Linked DNA regions of Rhinolophus ferrumequinum. The protein of the gene in region 1 interacts with the protein of each later gene in a biochemical or structural test. Links are inferred from orthologs where the notes say so. Each region holds a gene or a part of one and is shown in the gene's direction. Other genes may lie near its edges.

Evidence for each region.
Region 2: the proteins of MATK (region 1) and tyrosine-protein phosphatase non-receptor type substrate 1 form a complex in vitro, tested with the Homo sapiens proteins (3 studies listed by BioGRID, with this or other methods). The link is inferred for Rhinolophus ferrumequinum from reciprocal best matches to the Homo sapiens genes MATK and SIRPA.

The regions. Positions count from the first base shown.
Region 1 is NC_046301.1:59,687,340-59,697,266, forward strand, and holds the start of MATK (megakaryocyte-associated tyrosine-protein kinase), read left to right. Parts: upstream 1-5,595; 5' UTR 5,596-5,736; intron 5,737-5,838; exon of another isoform or gene 5,839-6,046; intron 6,047-6,097; exon of another isoform or gene 6,098-6,180; intron 6,181-7,295; 5' UTR 7,296-7,347; coding exon 7,348-7,356; intron 7,357-7,707; coding exon 7,708-7,821; intron 7,822-7,917; coding exon 7,918-8,033; intron 8,034-8,113; coding exon 8,114-8,333; intron 8,334-8,715; coding exon 8,716-8,809; intron 8,810-9,927.
Region 2 is NC_046306.1:24,327,000-24,337,200, forward strand, and holds the start of tyrosine-protein phosphatase non-receptor type substrate 1, read left to right. Parts: upstream 1-6,236; 5' UTR 6,237-6,255; intron 6,256-6,277; exon of another isoform or gene 6,278-6,546; intron 6,547-6,656; exon of another isoform or gene 6,657-6,675; intron 6,676-6,686; exon of another isoform or gene 6,687-6,892; intron 6,893-6,896; exon of another isoform or gene 6,897-7,023; intron 7,024-7,256; exon of another isoform or gene 7,257-7,428; intron 7,429-7,469; exon of another isoform or gene 7,470-7,559; 5' UTR 7,560-7,568; coding exon 7,569-7,647; intron 7,648-10,201. UniProt on the Homo sapiens protein: Immunoglobulin-like cell surface receptor for CD47. Acts as docking protein and induces translocation of PTPN6, PTPN11 and other binding partners from the cytosol to the plasma membrane.

The DNA.
Region 1 (9,927 bases):
CAACGTAAGTACCAAGTATTCATTTAACCAAAAATGGTGATCAAACTATTGGGAGAGCAGTATGCCTGAGAGAGCTGAGTCTCTCTCTTCAGGAGCAGGAAATCAATGGGCAGTGATCAAAAGATGTGGAAAACATGATTTTGAAATATGAAAGCCAATACCAGGGAAACAGCCAATAGAAAGAGCAGTGGCAGTCCTTGGGGAGTGGGGCATACATTGCTTTGTTTAAAACCGTTTTTTAAGTTCAGCACAGTCTTCAGCACACAGCAAAACACTACAAAATACCGCTACTATTGATTTTGATAAGAAGAAAACATATAACTTTGAGGGGCTCATTGCTGAGTCGGGGAGCTTTTTATAGTTGGGAGAGCACTTGACAGCTTGCTACATATCATGAATATCGACCCATTTAGATTGAAAAGTGCACCTACAGGTCAAATAGATTTTAAAATGTGCCTATTTTAAGAAATTAAAAGCTGAAAGAGACCAGAGGTCAGAAATCTACAGCCCACTTACCCACCGTCTGTTTTTATGCATCCCACAAGCTAAAAATGTCTCTTCACATTTTTAAGTGGCTGAAAAAATCAAAAGTCTTAATGTGGCATGACATGTGAAAAGTATACGAAGTCCAGATTTCAGTGTCCATAAATAAAGTTTTATTGGAACGCAGCCATGTCCGATGACGTCCATGTCATCTATGGTGGCTTTCGCGCTACAAAAGCAGAGCTGAGTAGTCCAGACAGAGATCATCTGGCCCTTTTCGGAGGAAGTTGACCAACTCTTGAGTTAGAGGATGAGGGTCTGGGGACGGGCTGGGGAGGACCCCTGGAGCAGAGGCTTGGGGACAAGTCTTCTGACAGACACGCTTTGCCTTGTGGTATCTTGTGGATCCCGCTCTCCTTCCTCTGTCTTCACTCTTTATATGATTCTATTCATTTGTTCTGTGAGGGCCTGCTGTGCACTAGGCTCCAGAGACAAGTGATTGCCCAAGCCAGAGCAGTCCCTGCCCTCTCTAACGAGCATCCGTTCTGTCAAGCGAGGCGAGGCAGGAGGGCTATGGATGAGGACAAGTAAGACAGGGTGACAGGCAGTGTTTTGGGCTTGGATGGTGGGTGGTCACTATGGGTGGTCAGGAAGGGTCTCTTGAAGGAGCCAGAAATGATGAGAAGGAGCCATCTTTGAGAGGAGCTGAGGGAAGGACGTCATAAGAGGAGAAAACAGCACATGCAAAGGCCCTGAGGCTGGATCATGCCTGGAGCATTTGAGGAACACGAGAGAGCCACGCCCGGGGAAGTGGAGGGAGCTGAGAGCAGAGAGGTGACAGCAGCCATGGTGGACAAGCCAGTGGTGGGCCACAGTGAGGAGCTTGGCTTGCATCCCCAGCACAGCCAGCGCCATGGGAAGGTTGTAAACTAGGAAGTGACACAGGCCCAGTTTACGCACAGTGAACCTGCAAGCGTGGCAGGGAAATGATATGCCTGGCTCCACCTGCAGTACAAGGAAGAACAGGCGAGGGATGTGGGGGGAGAGCAGACAGCCTCCCCCATTAACGGCAGATCACCCCTGGCACCCCAAAGCAGGTCGCTTGGAGGAGCCCTTGTTCCCCAAGTCAAGAATGATGCAGCCGACCACAGCTCTGGTTGCAAGATGAGCGATGCAGCATTTTTCCTCGAAAGAGCAGAGTGTTCCTCCGCTGAATCCCTGAGTCCCCTGGCAGGGAAGAGAAAGCTAAATTTAAAGGTGTGCTAATTGGGGCAGTCTGATCTGGCCACTGGCTCCTCTGGGGCCATGGTGCCAGCGCAGCCATCCCCACATCTGGCTGCAGCTGCCCTGTCTTGCCTGCCCTCCAGATCCAGAAATTTCAATTATGGGCACATTCTCTGGTGGTCTGTCATGTGCCCACCACTATGCCGTGCACCAGCATGTGGGCCCTGGAGCTGGATGGGCCTGGGTTCAAAGCCCAGCCCACCACTTCCTGTGTCATAGGGTGAGCCTCAGCACTCTCTGAGCCTCAGCTTTGCCATCTGTGAAATGGGTACAATGAGAGTGCTTGCCTCACAGGTGACAGGCACTGCTCATTCCCTCTCCCCTCCCCAATATTCACTGGCTTAAAAAAATACTTTCTGAATACTACTGTGTGCCAGGAACTGACCACAGCTGTGAACGACACTGTCCAAAATCCCTGCCCTGGGGAGTTGATGTTCTAGAAAGGACACAGCCAGTAAACAAGATAAACAAGTAAAACATATGGTCAGTCAGACCATGGTAGCTCCACAGAGCTACAGGAAAGAGAATGTAACATGTCAGAAGGTTGAAATATTCTGTAGGGTTGCTATAATGTTGGTTATGTCTGGGGAAGTGTCCCAGGCAGAAGGCACAGCTAACGCAAAGGCCATGAGGTGGGAGCAAACCTGGAAGCTTTGAGAAAGAGGATGCCAGTGCTCCTGCCTCCCCCTCTTGGCCCTTTTGGGTCCTTTCAGGGCATAGGAGTGAGGTCTTGCTCTGAGGAGGGTATGGATGTCTGAGAAGGTTTCATAAAAATGGTGCCAGTTTTCATGGACATGGAGGATGAGCTGGGGTAAAGACTACATTTCCCAGATTCCTCTGCTCCTGGGGTTTCACTGGAAGAGTCCTTAAATGAAGAAATGTACCCTTTTCTGCCAACTTCCTGCTTCCTATTGACTGGAATGCAATAGGTGAGAGGGCTGGAGCTCAAGCAGCCATCTTAGATCAAGAGAATGAAGTTTGAGTGTGGACAAAGGCAGAGCAACAAGATAGCAGGAGCCTGGGCCCCTGACATACACAGGATTTCCTCCCTCAAAGAGCATTAATTTCTACCTAGTAATTCAAGCCTCTAACACTTGGGGTCTTCCATCCCCCACAGCCAATCCTAATTTTAACTGATGCATTATGTAAAGTGCCTGTCACATGACTTCTTTTGTTTATTGCCTATAATGATTTTCGTCCATATTTGTAAAGAATAAGAAATATATCCTGCCTTTGAAAAGTCTACAACTCCATTGGGTGTGTCTGCAGGCCTGACTTCTAGCCCCAGTGTTACCATGGGCAAGTAGCCTTGCCTCTCTGGGTCTCAGCTGCTCCAATTCTAAAATGAGAGGATGGGTCCCCAAAATCTCCAGGAGTTTGAAGAACAGAGGGTTATGCAAATCACAACAGTCAAAATAGAACAGTGAGATGCGAAGAACAGTGAGATTCGGATGAACAAAAGAAAGGCATTCAGGCAGGGGACAAGGTGGGTTCATCAGGGTTTCTCTGTTGCAAGTGACAGAAGACAGCACCACCTGATCCAGGGCATGAAAGGGAAGAGATTCCTCTTCTTAGCTGGGTTTAGGGCAACCTAATCTGACTCACCAATTCCACATCATAGAGATTTAATTTCAGCACCCCACTCTGGTCCCATTTTCAGTATTAGGAATTCTTTTGGTTACAAGTGGCAGTAACCTCCTGAAAGCAACCAAAAAGCAAAGAACTGCTTCCAATGCTAGGCATAGCGTGACCTCCAGACATGGCTGAATCCAACGATTTGAATTCTTCCTGTGGTATTCAGTCTGTTTCCTGGCTCTGCTTCCTCTGGGCTGGCTTTTTCTCAGGCAGGCTAATGGTCTCAGTTCCCAAGGCCAGATCCGTGCCCATCGGTGAAATGAGATGGCTAGTGTCTCTAGCTAGGGGTCCTTTCAGGACATAGAAGTTAGACTTGCTCTGAGAAGGGTAAAGGTGTCTGAAGAAGGCTTCATAAAAATGATGTCGGTTCAGCTGGGCGTGAAGGATGAGCTGGAGATGCCATCTGGATGGGAGAAGCACATTCCGGCAGAGGGGACAGCCCATGCGAAACCATGCTAACTCCTGCAGTTCAGAGTTGCCAAACTATTGGGTGCTTGGTGGGAGCAGAAGCAACTGAGGCCAGGGAGGCCAGGGAGGGGCCAGATATGAAGAGCCCTGAATGCCAGACTGAGTGTTTTAGGCTCTGTCCTGCAGGCAGTGGGAGCTATAGCAGGATTTAGAGCAGGAGAGGGCCACAGTCACATTTTCATCCCTTGATGATGCAGTGGAAGATGAATGGTAACAAGGAGAAAAACTGGAGGCAGTTGGGAGACCAGAAAGGGGGCTGCTCTATCACCAGCCTGCACCAGATGGGTGTCCAGGGGTTGGGGGTGGGTGGGTCAAAGAATTTCCAGACTCAAGTTGACAGGACTGAAATGTGGAGGGTGAAGAGCCCAGGACTGGGGAATTCTGGTATCCGACCCGATGGTGTGGCTACCAACTGGCTTCAGGCAGGTAGAAGGGAGAGGCACGTCCTTCAGCTCCTAGCAGGAGGCAGGAAAACGGGTGTTGCATCACTGGGGACTGGAAGACCCATTGAGTCTTTGTGATTCAAAGTGCCAATTATTGGATGCCTCTAGGATTGGGGAGCTCACCCCTTCTGTAGCTCTGACCCAAATTAACCATGGACTCAAATCTATCCCCCTAAAGTCATGCACAGCTCAATGCCCCATGCCCACACCCATGGGGGGCGGGCTCCCTGTTCCCCAGGCCAACCCTTGGAGATTCGGGCACCTAACACCTTCTCCTTAAATCTGTCAGTCCTCAGTCTCAACACCTTTGCTTCCTCTGATCACTCAGAGGTAGGGCCTTCCAGAATGTGGGACATGGACCCCTGGGCATCCTGGGGAGGATGTAGGTGTTACTCAGACCCTAAGTACCTATTCGCAGAGGGAGAAAGCCAGCCCCTTCTGACCCTCTTCCCTTCTCTCTGACTACGTCAAGGAGAACATCTCCACGGGGTGCTAGGGCATCTCAACCTCTTAGACATGGGCTCCTGTCCTTGCTGAACAAAGAAGGCAGGTCTCCACTGTGGGGCCTGGGGCCATAGCAGTCCCTGCTGAGCATTTAATGGTGCTGTCTGTGGGTTTCCTCTGTGGCTATTTTCACTCTGGGTTTCTATTTCTGGAAAGTGATGATGGCTTGCTATATATGGTAGGCCCCCATCACCCTGACTGAATGCTGGCTGCAGGGTCCCAACCCTAGGACCAGAGCAGTGCCCAGTGGCTGGGAAGCAGGGCTCTCTGGGCATCTTGACTCAGAGCCCTCCAAGGTCAGCTCCACCCTTGTCCGAGCAGACTCTGCCGTTAGAAGCAATGGAGTCATGGCTGGAGGCCAGGCCCAGTGCGTGGCCATTCAGTGCTCATCCAGCTGTCCTCTGAGGGGACGCCCGTGTTGCCCAGCCCTTCAGAGGAGGAAAGGGAGGTCAAGAGTGGGGCAGTACTGCCTCTGGCACAGCTGGGTTGGCTCCCGCCTCAGGACCCACCATTATTCTCCAAAGGAGGGTTGCTCCGCCAGGAGGCTTCCAGTTCCACACGATTTTTTCCCTTGTGGCCCCAATTTTCCTTTAACGATAATGATGACGATACTGGCAGCGGTTGACATTTTGGGGGAGTTTTCTTTGTGCCAGGCATCAACAGCTCTCTACAGCAACAGGTAATTAAATGAGGTCCCGTTGGCAGAGGAGGTGACAGGGCGTTGGAAAGGCAGAGTCCGAAGGGCCCATTTTGTCGTCTGGGCTCTGCCGCCTGCTTATCTCCCCGACCGGCAGCTCATTCACTCCACTCCGCGCGCGCGCGCGGTGTGCCACCTGCTCCACACTCCAAGGCCTCCGCTTGTCCGGATGAGCTGGGGTGCGCGCCCCTCAGCACCAGGCCAGGGAGAGGCGTGGAGCCGGTGAGAGTCTCCAGCGCCCCCCGCGCCGCGCGGGAGGTGCCGGGGACCGCGGAGGCAGGGCGGGGAGGGGCCCGCGGCGGCGCGCAGAGCAGACCGCAGTGCGGCCGGCGCTAGGACCCGCGGGATCCTCCCTGGCCGCGGCACCTCCCGCTCCCCGGCCACCCTACCTCTCCTCCACCCCCAAAATGAGGAAACGGAGGAACTTGCACCAAGTTGTGCAGCGGGGCCCGCCTTGGGGGTGCGCAGCTGGCACGCGGGGGCCCTCCTGGGGGCGGGGGCGGGGCGCGGCCCGGGGACGCCCCCTGAGCAGGTGAGCGCGGTGACGGGATTGGGGGTAGAGACCGCAGGGGCAGTGGAAGCGAACCAGAGGGCTCCATGGGGACCCGGGCGTTCGCGGGAGGGGCCGGTGTGCGCTCGAGTGTGCACGTCCGGGGCGCGCGACGGGTACGCTGCTGAGGTGGGGGTGGTTACAGGCAATCAAGCGCGGGGTGGGGAGTAGTCTGGGTGGGGGTGTGCGCGTCTGCGAGCCCCCAGGTGTGTGTATCAGCGCGTCCACGTGGAGGCATGTGCGCGTGTGGCGGAGATGCGTGTGCGCGGCCCTGTGTGTAGCTCTGCGTGCCTGGGTGGCCCAGCGTTTGGTGCCCAGGTGTTCAAGTATGGGTCTGTGTGTGTTAGTGGGTGGGCAGATGCACACGTTTCCAGATGTCCCAGCACCTGCGCATGTGTACACACATGTAGAGGCGTGTGCACACCTGTCTCTAGGGGGGCATGCCTTTGCTTACACACCTGGGTGCCTGTGGGTACCTGTGTCCACCTGTGTCCAAGCCCTGTGTGTTTCTGTATGTGCTTGTGTGTACATGGATCAGTATAGGTGTGAGTACACGTAGGGCTGAAGATTTATGGGGGTGCACATTGGAGGAACCAAGATTCACCCCGCAACTTGCCCCACTGTCCAGCCACTTGCGGTAGGGTAGATGGGGGTGGCAAGGGGTGGAAAAGTCCCCAACCAAGCAGCAATGAAGGAGTGTGTGTGTCAGTCCTGGGTTGGGGTGGGGGAGTCAGAGAGGTTTGGCTGGTGGCCAGAGGAGCCCAGCAGGGCTCCACAGCCTCCGCCCCACCTCTGGGTCAGAGTTCCTTGGGAATGACCTTGAATCATTCTGTATTTGTCTGCCCTGTTCCTGCCCACTCACCAGAAAAGAGGAAGAACCAGGGTCGATTAGGTGGCACCAAGCTCCCCATGTGCTGTGTGGGCTGCTGGGGCCTGAGCTAGGTACCTGTCCCCTCCCCAGCCTGTGGCCACTAGCTCTGTGCCCACCTTATGCCTCAGTTTCCCTTTGGGAACCATGGTGGGGCGAGGCTCCACGGTTTCCTTGCTGGTGTTTCATGGCTGTGACTCTGCTAAGGAACTCCCCTGGGTAAAGGCCACCTTCCCAAATGGCCTTCGGGAAGCTATACCTGAGCCCCTCTGCCCCTGGCTGTCCCTCCGACCCGGCTTGGGCTGGAATTGGTAGTGATGGGGTGAATCTGGGCTCTCCAGCTGGTCTCTGCCTCCTCCCCAGGTGAGCCCTCGCTTCCTCTGTGCCTGGCACTCCTCCACCCATCTTAGCCAGGATGCCCACGGTGAGTACCTCGACCTGGGTGCCTGTGGCCTCGGCCCTTCCTCAGCTCAGTCCACGCCCACAGGACCTCAGCTCCACAGGGAGGAGGACTGTACTCTGACCCTTGTCCCTGTAGCTGCTGTCTCCCAGGCTTTCTGTTATTTGGTGTTGCATTTCTTTCACCTTTTCTTCCTGACCTGTACTGAGCACCTGGTGTTTGAGACTCTAATAAATCTCTGTTGGCAGCTCCCTTGTCCTTTCTCCTCCTCTCGCTCTTTCTTTCTGTTTTTTGTTCTGTCTCGGTCCAATCTTTCTCTCTCCGGGGCATCTCCCTCATGTCCCCTTTGCCCCTCTCCCTCACCCCCTCACCCAGAGGCGCTGGGCCCCAGGTACCCAATGCATCACCAAGTGTGAGCACATGCGCCCCAAGCCTGGAGAGCTGGCCTTTCGCAAGGGTGACGTGGTCACCATCCTGGAGGCTTGTGAGGTGAGCAGTAGCCAGAGGGCCTGGGTGTGTTTGGGGACAGGACCCCCACACACACACAAACACACACATACGGACCCCTGGCTCCCTCCCTGGCAGAGCAAGAGCTGGTACCGCGCCAAGCACCACAGCAGCGGGCAGGAGGGGCTGCTGGCAGCCGGCGCACTCCGGGAGCGTGAGGCCCTCTCCACTGACCCCAAGCTCAGCCTCATGCCGTGAGTTGTGGGGCGTCCTGGAATGGGGGGGCCAGGAGGGCCTGGCCAGCCCAGTCCAGCCTGCCCTTCTGCCCCCACAGGTGGTTCCATGGGAAGATCTCAGGCCAGGAGGCGGTGCAGCTGCTGCAGCCGCCTGAGGATGGACTGTTTCTGGTGCGCGAGTCAGTGCGACATCCAGGTGACTACGTGCTGTGCGTGAGCTTCGGCCGAGATGTCATCCACTATCGCGTGCTGCACCGCGATGGCCACCTGACCATTGACGAGGCCGTCTGCTTCTGCAACCTCATGGATATGGTGGAGGTGCGCCCCAGAACCCAGAGACGCATGCTCCCCAGTGCAGAGAAGCAGCTGGTCCCCATGGACCACCAACTCTCTAGGGGGTCTGAGTCCTCTAGGTCCCACCTCCAAGGACTGGGGTGGCTCCTTCAGGGACCTTCAGGAACCTCCAAGTTGACACCAATCCAGAGACCTCCCCATCTTCCCTGTTTCCCCCCTAGCCTCCATACTTTCTTGTTTCCATGCAAACCAGCCCAACACATCCTGTGAGACCCAAACCCCTCTCCTTCTCATCAGCTCCTGCCCACCCCATCCAGACCACCCCCCAGGAAGGGGACAGGATGCAGGGGTTCCCCACACCCCAGGGTTGGACTCACGACCACCTCTGCCCCGTCCTGCCCTGCAGCATTACAGCAAGGACAAGGGGGCCATCTGCACAAAACTCGTGAAACCCAAGAGGAAGCCGGGGGCCAAATCTGCGGAGGAGGAGCTAGCCAAGGGTAGGGGTCTGCGCCCTCTCCACCCACATTCTCCCCCCTGGGAGGTCAGGGCCCTGGGGCCCGGCATGGGGCTAATGCCACAGCATTTGAGTATGGCGCCGTGCCTGGCACTACAGGTGGAAGGCCTGGGCTCTCCCGGGGTTGGGCAAAGGGCACTCACAGACACTGATCATCTCAAGATTGAGCAGGTTCCCACATCTGCTACTTCCTACACCTGGGTCCTTATCACGCCCTGTCACCTGAGCTGGAAACCTGGCCCAAAACCTCAACCCACCCACCCGCCCACATCCCCTTCATGGTCAGGTTCTAACATCACTTAACACCCTACCTGACCTCACACCTTTCCATCAGACCACATTCTTCCGGGGGGCAGTCCCCCTTCCTCCCGACCTTAGACCCTTAAGTGTGTGCCCCCAGAGGCAGCTTTCTACCATGATAGCCCACCCACATTGCTCCCCTGCTTAAAGGAGGGAGGCCCTGCAGCTTTTCCGCCTTCTAGAACGTTCTCTTGTGACTGAGCCTTCTTTCCTGCCTCACCTACAGGACCCTTCTTCCATTCACAAGACCCCCCTCCCCCGTGACTCATTTCCTTTCATGCCTCCCTGCTGTTGTGCTTTCTGTTACCTTTACCAGAAATGCTTTTTCAGCTTCTGTGTAGTGAAATCATCAATATTCAAGGCCCAAAGCAAATGCCCCCAACCACAGCCACCCCTACGGTCTTTGGAACCTGACACCCGTGGCTGTCTCCTTGAAAGCACGAGTATCTCCTGGGGAGATCTGGCCGTCTTGGGGATGGCACGGGGTGGAGGCGGTGTCACCATTCCATTCCTGATGTACCTAAGGAGCTCCTGGTTTGCGGGGGGGTGGGGGGTGGGGGAGGCCTATAGAACCTGCTGGGGGGGAGGCGGGGAGGACACTGGCCTGCTGTGACAAGGGTCAGGGAGGCGAGCACAGACCACGACGTACAGCCCTGGAAGGGTCTAGAAGCTTTGCTGGTCTCCCTGTCTGTTGTGTTTTTTTGCTTTGTGTATATTCCTGGGTGGCCAGAGGTAAAGGACGATAAAGGGAAGAGCATTTGGGGTATTTGGAGGGACACAGTCTCCAGGTAGAAGAGAGAT
Region 2 (10,201 bases), on another chromosome or scaffold:
AGGCTATTGGGAGGTGTAGGCTGTAGGAGGGACAAAATGGGAAGTCCTGTGAGGAAGCAGGAAGGTAGTGAGGAGGTGATTGCACTAATCCAGGTGAGAGATGGAGGTGCGTGGGATTAAAGGGGGATACAGGTGGTAAGGGGTGGTCAGATTCTGGGTTTATTGCGAAGGTAAAGCCAAGAGGATTGCCTGGCAATACTGTGAGTGGAGAGGAAGAAAAAGAGAGGGCTCAAGGAGGATACCAAGCGATTTTGCCTGAGAACTGCAAAGGCGGAACTGAGATGGAGAAGATGGGACAGAGGCAAGCGTCAGCCATGGTTCTCAGCTGTTGTCTGCGTCTCTCTCTCTCTCTCTCTCTGTCACTCTCTCTTTATCTCTATCTCTAGCTCTCCCCTGCCACTCTTTTTATCCATTAATCCTGCCCCCAAGCTGTTTTCAGAGAAGGAAACGGAAGCTGAGACCCACCCAAGACTGCACAGCTAATGAGGGGCAAGCTCTCAGCCACTGGGCTCTGTTGTCCCATCACCACTGGGAAGAGTTAGATCCATCTGTTCATTCATTATGTCATTCACCCGATCCTCCCGTGCCTACAGTGCATCAGCAAGTGGGTGCTGAGCCTCAGCGGGGCCTGGAAATCATCAAGCCAGCCCCTGGGCGGTGAGGGAGACTCAGAAAAGGCACTGCGGGGCCACCCAGACTCATACACAGCAAAGCAAAAGTCAGAATGTGCAGAGGTTGGGAGCAGAGACTGAGTAATGAAAAAGCCTGGATTCAAAGCCAAACTCTGCAGCTCGCAGGCTGTGTGCTCTTGCACAAGCCCCTTAACCTCTCTGTGCTTCAGTTTTCTCATCTGAGAAATAGGAATAAGAATTATGTCCGCATAAAAGAGGGACTATTGTCACCCCAATAAATAAAAAAAAAAAAAAAGAGGGACTAAGAAGCATGAGCGCATCTGCTGAAATCCTTCTGGCTTGGGCTTAATAAGCGCTCCTACATTTTTGCTATTATTAGCATTAGTATCAGGCAGAGACAGCACTTGAACTCAGGTCTCTCAGTGTACGCTGAGGCAGTCAGCCGTCTGTCCTGACGACAGCAGTACCCTGCAGGGACCCCACACCCAGGGCTGTGTGGGGAGCAGCAGCTCTGCACAGCTGGGCTCAGTTTCTGGCAGAGCCAGATCCCCAGAGCCTGAGAACAGTGTTTAGGGCCTGACAGCGCAGTCCCACCCCTGACAGGCTCGAAGAGATGCTTGTTTGCCTGCTGAGTCACTGAGTCGCTAACTTCCCCAGGAAAGCACTAATTACAGCATGGCTCCCCCCCAGCCCTGGCTCTGTGATCTGTCACTGCCTCTCAGCTTCGGGGCACTGGCTGCTGTTTCTGAGCCAGTGCTGTCACCCACTTTGCTTCCCCTGGTGAGGTGAGGACAGAAAACAGAGGGATCCACAGATCAACCAATGATCTGGGGCTGGGCTCATGAACCACAGTCTGTTCAGCGGTTCTCAAAGTGTGGTCTCCGGACCAGCAACATCGGCAGCACCTGGGAGCCTGTTAGAAGCACTGATTTTCAGACCTTGCCGGAGACCTGCTGAATCAGCAATTCTGGGGGCGGGGGCCCGGAAATCCCTGTTTAACAATCCCTCCAAGTGACGCTCATGCCTGCTCAATTGGGGAACCACAGCTTCGAGTCCTGTGCGGCTATGGTGGAAGGGGTCGTGCTGTGAAGAGGTGATTATAACATGGGGTGCATCGAAGCCCAGGCTCAGAGAGATGTGTCTTCAAATCCAGGCTCTGCCAGTGTCTTGTGTGATTTTGGGCAGGTCATTTTTTACATTGAATACCTATTTATTGACAACCTTCTGTTTACTGCTGAAAGCCCTAGGCTTCAGTGGTGGAAGAAAACAGTGGTGATACCCAACATCTTTACTTATATTCACTCATTTAACCCCTACAAGAAACCTTTAGGTACCGTTCTATCATTACCTGAATCGGGTGGGTGATGCACAGATGGTCAAAGTAACGTGCTTTAGGGCTAGTCCGAGGCAGTGCTGGGGTTTGAGCCATAGGTGCGCTTCCAGAGTTAGGCACTGAGCCATTGGGCTGGCCTGATTTGTGGCTAGTTAAGGAAAACAGACAAAATGCAATAAAGACACATAACACTGGCAGGTGGTGATGCGTGCTTTGAAGTAAAATAATGTAGGCAAAGGGATGGAGTCCATTGGGGTGGGTTGGAGTGGGGGTGACTATTTTAACAAGGAGGTCTGGCAAGGCCTCTCTGAGGAGGTGACCTGTGAGCAGAGACTTCTCTAAGGCAGCGTTCTTGTCTGTAAAGCGAATTAATGGCACCCCCTCCCAGGTACGGTGTGAACATGTCACGAGAACATGCCTGTGAAAGTATAGTAGATGTTCAACAAATAGGAACTGTTGTTATTTGAAGAACAAAGTTCAAATCCTAATTGGCTCGGCCCCTCACTAGCTGAGTGTCCACGGCAAGTGACTCCATCCTTCTGAACTTCGGTTTCTGCAGCTATAAAATGGCTGCCAGGAGCCTTGGCGATAACCCACATACAGATCAGAGAACAGCGCCGGGGTGCGGTAAGGGCACTCCCTCCTCCTGTCCCCACCCCACTTTCTCTCTAGCCTGTCAGCAGCTCCTCTCTGGGGCTGTTGGTTCCCTGGTCCAGGCCGCCCAGGAGACCTTGCTGTTTTTATTTTTATTGTTCTGGCTCCAAAGCTGAGGCCTCTCACTCCAAATGGTTCCTCTTGCCCAGAAAAATAGGTCGTTGGCAGCTCCAGCCTCCTGACAGGCCCTACACAAAGGCGGCCTGGCGGGCCTGCCTGCTGACGCCAGTCCAGGGTTACGGGAAGTGAGGAGCTGAGCCCAGGCAGGGCTGGTGCCAGGCAGAGCTGGGTCCCTGCAGGTTCCAGCATGCCCTGGCAAAGTGACCCTGGTCGAGTTGCATTCTGCCTCTGGTCTTGTTTCCCCACCTTTGACAACACAGTGAAGTTGCTGAGGCTTCAGTGAGACAATGCATATGGAGGGGCCTGGCACACACAGAGGAACCATCACCCCACCTGCAGAGGCAAACTCCAGATATGCTCCCGCCATGGTTGCTTTCACACCTGTGCCACTACTATCTCTGGGATCAGGGTAGACCTGGTTATTCCCATTTCACAGATGAAGAGACTGAGGCTCATTAAAAAAAAAATTTTCCCTAGTCACAGAAGTTAAATTGGCAGCATCTTGGCTTCGAAACCCCTGACCCTCCCCTCCTTGAGCTCATTCTAGTCTTCTTCCCAGCAGGTCTTGGGCAACAGGAAGGGATATGATCTGACTTCTATCAAAGGATCCCTTCTGGTTGCTGAGTGGAGAATAGATGGAGGAAGAGGGGGGAAACGTAGAAAGAAGGTGCCCAGGTGGGAGATGGTGGAGGCTTAGACTAGGGCGGTAGCGGCAGCAGAGACGCTGATAAGTGATTTGGTTCTAGACGTGAAGACAAGGTCCAGCCAGTGGGATGTGCAGCTGACAGATTGCACACGGGGAGTGACAGAAGAGTTGGGAGCCACGCAGGATGGAGCCGCCTCTGGCTTTCCATCTCAAATCTTTCAGGTCTTCACTCAAACATCACCTCCTCTGAGGCCTTCCCTGACCCTCTCCCCTCTCATAGGCCCTCCTGGTCCCCTTGCCTGCTTTATTTCCTCATATAGCTTTATCCATGTCTGACAGACTAAATATTTTATGTACTGGTTTGTTTATTCGCTCCCACTAGAATGTCAGCTCCTTGGGGCAGGGGGTTTTGTCTGTTTTCTCTCACCTGCTTCATCCTCAGTGCTTAGCTCAATGCCGGGAACATAGTAGGAGTGTAATAAATACTGTTAAGTGCATGAATGAATGGTATATGTATGAAGGCAATTCAGTTTTAATCCAGGGCAGCCCAGGATGCCTCCTATGGAGGTGGCTGATTCTCTTCAATTATCTGCCATAATCTCGCTGTGTGACCTCAGACAAATTGTCCTCCAACCTCAGTATACCCAGCTGCCGAATGGTCTCGGTGACCTCCCAGGCATGATGGTCAGCCAAGGGTGATTTTTCTGTGGACTGAATCAGGAGAACAAGGCCCAGGCCTCCTTCTGGGGTGGAGGTGAGGATGAAAGGGCCCTGGTGTTAAGAAGCCCTGCTGGGTGCCTGTGCCCAAGTGCTACATATAAACAGCAGGTGGTTCAATAATAATCCTTCCCTAATCCTCAGTTTCCTAATCCCAGGCAGGTCTCCGTGTGTGTGTGTGTGTGTGTGTGTGTGTGTGTGTGTGTGTGTATCCTGGGAAATAGTGAATGGATGGCAGAAACTTCTGGAAGCCCAGGCCAGGTGCCTGCCTCATCGCTGACCTTCACCAGCTGCCCTTGCTCCCACTCCCACCCCAGGTGGATTCCAATGATGGATTTTCTCAGGACTCTCAGCTGGTCACCTTCATGGTCTTGGCCAGACGTGGCCTAAAGAGTTAGAGGTTCCCTACATCCCACTTCAAATACTAGGAGGACCCCAGAACAACCTCCTCACTGTGCTGATTTTACGCTCCCCTTCCTGCAGCCCACTCTCCACTAGCAGTCAGAGTGGCCTTTTAAACGCATGAATCAGACCATGGGGCTCCCCTGCTTAAACCCTTCAATGATTTCCTCCCTGCAGAATAAATGCAGGCACTTTACCAAGGCCTGCAAGGCCACCCAGCTGAATCCCTCTCCCCCATCCATCGCACATTCCCTCCAGCCACACTTGCCCCAGGGCCTTTATATGTGCTGTTCCCTCTTCCCCAAATCCTCACCTTGCTGCCCCTTCTTACGATTCAGCTCCCAGCTTCTCAGGGAAGACTTACCCTTATCTAAATGAGGGTGCCCTTCTCACTCTCTGAGCTCAATCTTCTGTTGTTCATTAATTATTTCTACTTGTCGACTTATCTGTCTTCCCACTAGAATGTAAATGTCTCATGGACAGGGACCTTGTATGATTCCCTGCTGTATCTCCCACACCTAAAGAAAAAAAATTTTCCCTTGTACTTCAAATACTGTCCAGAATCCTGTGGGCTCCCTAAGGACTGTTGTCAAACACTATACTTATTTATCAAATATTATGTAGCACTTAGGACATGCTAGGCACTCTTTAAAGTGTACAAATATTAATTCATCCAATCCTCACAGCAACTTTTTCAGGTTGATACTCATGTTAGCCTAAGTTCAGATGAGGAAACTGAGGCACAGACAGGATAAGCCATTTTCCCAAGTCTACACAGCTCATAAGAGGTAGCTGGCCGGATTTGAATCCAAGGAGTCTGGCCCATGCGCTCAGCAGTTGCGCCCTTCCTACCTCCCTGTCTTAATACACCAGGACTAGGCATCTGACAGGCAGGCTGGGGTGGGAGTGGGGGTGTCACTTTGCAAAAGTCTTCATTTTATTTAGCCTGGGAATCAGAAATTCAAACCTCGTTTCTACCCCAGGCCTTGCTCTGTGTCCTTAGACAAGTCCACTTCCTCTCTGGGCCTCAACTCCCTTTTGTTGCTTCATTCCTATGCTCTTAACAGACTCGCGAAGCAAAATTGGTTGTTGTGTATTTCCAAGTCCCAAACCCTCCAATTAGCAGAGGGTCTTGGACTCCTTTCCCTCCCACAGTCTGGAGTTACCTTTGGCCGGGTAACCAGCACTCCCACTGCCTATCACTGACTTGGGATGGTAGGTAGGTAGGTAGGTAGGTAGAATGTTGGATGGATGGATGGATAGATAGATGATAGATAGATAGATAGATAGATAGATAGATATAGATAGAGGCTCTGTCCTCTCCGAATACTCCAGGCCTCTTGCCTCTGTTCCCCTCCTTTCCTCTCACCTTCTTCATTATCTGTCATTTTCCCAGAACCCAGGCCTTCAAATCCTCTCTCTCCTCCACCCCCCAAATCTGCCACCCCTGAAAGAGGCACCTGACAGAGAGAGCCCACCTCCCTAGGGAGGCCCGACCCTTCCCCTGTAGTTTCCCGGGCCACAGCCCCTCTTCTTTCTCATTCTCCTCGCTGCGCCTCTTTTCCAGGCGGCACCGAAGTCCTTCCTACACACACGCTATTTTTGTATGATCACTCTCTCCTTCCTCTCCCCCTTCCCCCTACATTCACTTACTTCCTGCTTTTCCGTCACCTCGGCCCAGCTCTGAAAGAATCGGGGCCTCTTTGGCCCAAGCCCACCTCCAAGAGCGGCCTTCAGCTTTGGGGCACAGGGTCAGGGCCACTTGGGGAGGGGAAAAGGCAGACACCCCCATCCCCCCTCTACTCCCCCACTCCTTCGCGGCTTCCAGCCTCTCGCTAAAGGGAAGCAGGGACTGACCGCGACGGAGTCCGGAGGCAGGGGAGGCCGGGCGCAACTTCCCCAGTCCACCTTAAGAGGACGATGTAGCCAGCTCGCGGCGCTGACCTTAGACAAACAAGTTTGCGCAAAGTGGAGCGGGGGGCCCGGCCCTGGGCAGCCCCAGCGGCGCTTCCACAGCCTTCCAGCCCTCGCTGGCGGCGCAGGTCCGAGCCGGGCAGGCAGTGGGAGGGGGACGGGGAAGGGAGCGGCTGGGGACTGGTGACAGCCGCTCGGGCTTCTGAACTGGCACATTGTTGGAGGCGGAGGCTGGTCCAGTCCCCAGCCCGAGCGCGGTGGGCCGGCGGCGGGGGCGGGCGGGCCGCCTCCCGGGGCTGCAGCCGTGGGCCCGGGAGGGGGTTGGGTGCCCGGGCGGCGGCACGGGCGAGGGGCAACGCTGGCCTCCTGACCCGGCGCTCGACACCAGCCCTCGCTCCCTCCCTCCCCGGGGCGCGCTGCTGTAGGGCGCTCTCCAAGAGGGTGCCGGCGCAGCCAGAGACCTGCAGCCCCCCCGTGAGAGCAGGAGCGAGGAGAGGAACCGGGAGGCGGGAGGGGGCCGCGGCCGGGCGGGTGGGGGCCGCGGCTCGGACTGTGGCCAGGAGAGAGGCGAGTCGCCGACGCCGCTAGGAGCCCGGGCAGGGCAGGTGGGCAGCGGTGGGGGCGGCTAGCGGGGCTGCCGTCCGCCCTGGCTCGGGGTCCTCCTCTCTCCCGCGCTGTCTGTCTCGATCTGCGCGCCGCCTCTCTCTCTCTCTCTCTCTCTCTCTCTCTCTCTCTCTCTCTCTCTCTCTCTCTCTCTCTCTCTCTCTCTCTCTCTCTCCCCCCCCCTTTCTCCCCCTCTCTCGCCTTTCTGTGCCTCTGGCTCTCTCCCTGGCTCCCCTGGCTCTATTTCCCTCTCCTGCCGCCCCTCTCCGGCCGCCCGGGCTTTCTTTCTGGCGCGCTTGGGGTCTGTCCCCTTCTCTCTCTCTCGATCTTTTCGGGGGGTGGGGGGACGTTCTCCGAAAATCGCCGCCGTGACGGCAGCTCCTAAGCCGCTCCGGGCGCTCATTCCGGTGAGGGGGGGAAGCCCGGCCAGTAGGAGAGAGAGGGGAGGAGGAAGGGGGGGAGCCTTAGTCATTTCCCCGCTCCAGCCCGCGCCCGCCCGAGCGCGCACTCACGGCCGCTCTCCCTCCTCGCTCCTCAGCCGCGGCCCATGGAGCCCGCCGGCCTGGCCCCCGGCCGCCTCAGGCCGCTGTTCTGCCTGCTGATCGCCGTGTCCTGCTTCAGTACAGGTAAGCGCCCTCCCACCCTGCTGCTGTCCCCTAAACTGCGGAATCAGGCCCCTCAGCCTGCCACCGGGAGCCACTCGGCAATGTTAGCAGTAATAGGGGTAGAGATGCCTGCAACCAGGGTTACAGGAGCGGAAACCGAGGCCCAGAGAGGGCCAGCGACTTGTCCAAGGTCACACAGCCAAGGGTAGAACCCAGTCTCTCCCGACTCTGACTGTGTGGCACTGAGCTGGGCACTGGGACAGACATACCCAGATGAGTTGCTTCACCCAGCCCCTGCCCAATCTGGAGGGGGAGGCAGGCTGTCAGCATCTTTCAGAGCAAGGCACCCCTGGCTTCCCTAGAAGCTCTCTCCCTGGACTGATGCTTTCCACTTGTTTGACTTCAGGGTCTGAAAGAAGGGGGTGGGGGCAGAGGTCTTCCAGGTACTGCCTGGGATGGAACAGAAGCAGACTTGCAATAAGGGAAGCAGGAGCATTCCCTCTGGTACGCAGAGTAAAACAGTGTGAGTGTGTGTATCGGGAGAGAGAAGGGAGGCCACAGGTAACCCTGGGGTAAGCTGCTGTGGTCAACAGATCCTGATATGAAAACACTGAATTTTCCCCGGAGTTGCCAGAGCCTCTCACTGGATGGCCGTGCTCCTTGCTCCTCTCCTGCCCCACCACACCACTTCCTCCTGCCTTCCCCAGGCTGCCAGGCAGCTCCCTGCTGTTCAGGGGCTCTGTGGGGCTATTACCTGTGGCTCTGAGCATGTCTTTTTGTTGGCCTACATCAAACACCTGTCTCTCTCCAGCAGGCAGGCACTGAAAGCTAGCATGTGTTCACCAAGGGGTGAGGTCATCATTCAGGAGTCCTGCTTCTTAAAGGGGTTTTGCAAAACCATGGGTCTCCTGGGAGGGCACGGAGGAGGCTGAGAACTGGCGTTGAAGGAGTGGGGGGGGGGGGCGGTGGGAGAGAGAAATGGGGATCTTGTTTTTTGGTTTATTGAAGCTGTGTTGTCGTTGGCAGAGGGGTCTCTGCGCCTGCCTCTCTTGAGGAAGGAGGCAAAAATAAGCTCAGTGTCTCTCCCCCCACCCTTCCATTTGCCTAGAGACTGGTAACCATCTGAAAGCAGTGAGAAAGGGAGAACTAGCAGAGTGGGTGGAGGGAGAAGTAGGGCTAAACAGCTGCTTTTCTCTGCTCTACAGTTTCCCCTGAACCCGGGGATGCACGTAGGCATCCCCCCACTCCATCCCCGGGTCCTTCAGTTATAGTCAGGTCCTTGCTGGGCAGAAGGAAGCACGGTTATATTTCATATCTCTCTGGTGAGTGGCATCTCCTATCTGCTCCTTCCTGTCTGAGCTGGCCATGTACACCGTGCACAGTCCCAATTCCTGCCTTAGCATTCATTCTTCCAGGCCTGGAAATTCGTGAGTGTCTCTCACAGGTGCTTACTTTTCCTAAAGCAGGGAACTGGGCCCAAGCTAATTTCTAAATATCTGTTCCAGACCCTTCTCCAACCAGGACCCTGTGGTTCAGTTTCTGGCAAATGAGCGGTGACACTGGTTAACAAGTGTTCAGATGGACAGCCTGCCTTTCCCGGGGCGCTGGCTGGGAATACCACCACCCTTCTTGTGAGCAAATCTCCCCCTTTTGTCTATAAAAACAATCTATAAAATGGTAAAGATTAGGCCATAAAACTTCCGTTCCAATCCATTCAGCATCAATAGCCTGAAAAAGTGGGAGCAGCAGAGGGGCCAAGATTAACTTTGAAATAAATAAATCTTAGGAGGTGAGAACAAATTTCTTGGCTGAGTGTGGTGGGGAAGGGATAGGGTGTCGCCACATAGCTGAAGCCTCCCAGCATCCTTCACTTCTACGGGGTCCTGGTCATGCTCTGGGCTCTGGCCTGGAATTCACCAGGTTTGGCTAACGGATGGGGCTTCAGGCCCCTTCCTCAGTTGCTCTAAGTGTGGAAATTATGACAAAGCAGAACAGGCAGGACAGAGGGTAGGAAGGTAGAAGGAGGCAGTTGTCCAATTTTCTAAGAAAATGGATTTGTTTGAGTGAGAAACTCAAATGTCAGGCTTAGGAAGGCGGCTCTGGATTGAATGACTAGTACTGTCTCAGCCAGAACTGTCAGCTTGGGAGGTGTCACATGACTGCTGTGGCTTCACATGGTCACTCTTTAGAGGGGGCTGGTCATGGGAATTATCTTGGTTGGGGGAGGCAGGGGGAAAAGTTTCTAAAGATTGCTTTTAGTACAAATGCCGCCAAAGGGAAATTCTAAAACGATGCCAGTGAAGTCACCAACCTGTGTCTTGGAGTCAATGTGAGGTCTGTTTCTTAAAACAGCTTCACTGAGGGAGATTCTGAGACTGGGAGAAGGGAGGGGACCAGGGCTTGGGGACACCTGGGCAGCCTGATTCTGCACGAGCAGTAGCACCTGACGTTGAACCTGCTGGCTCCTGGCTTAGCCCCACCTACGTCTTGGGATGTAGGAGTCATCGAATGGGCCGAACCTAGATGAGCTCCCGTTCACTCCTTGCCCTAGCTTGGAGAAGGCCAGGCCAAGCTG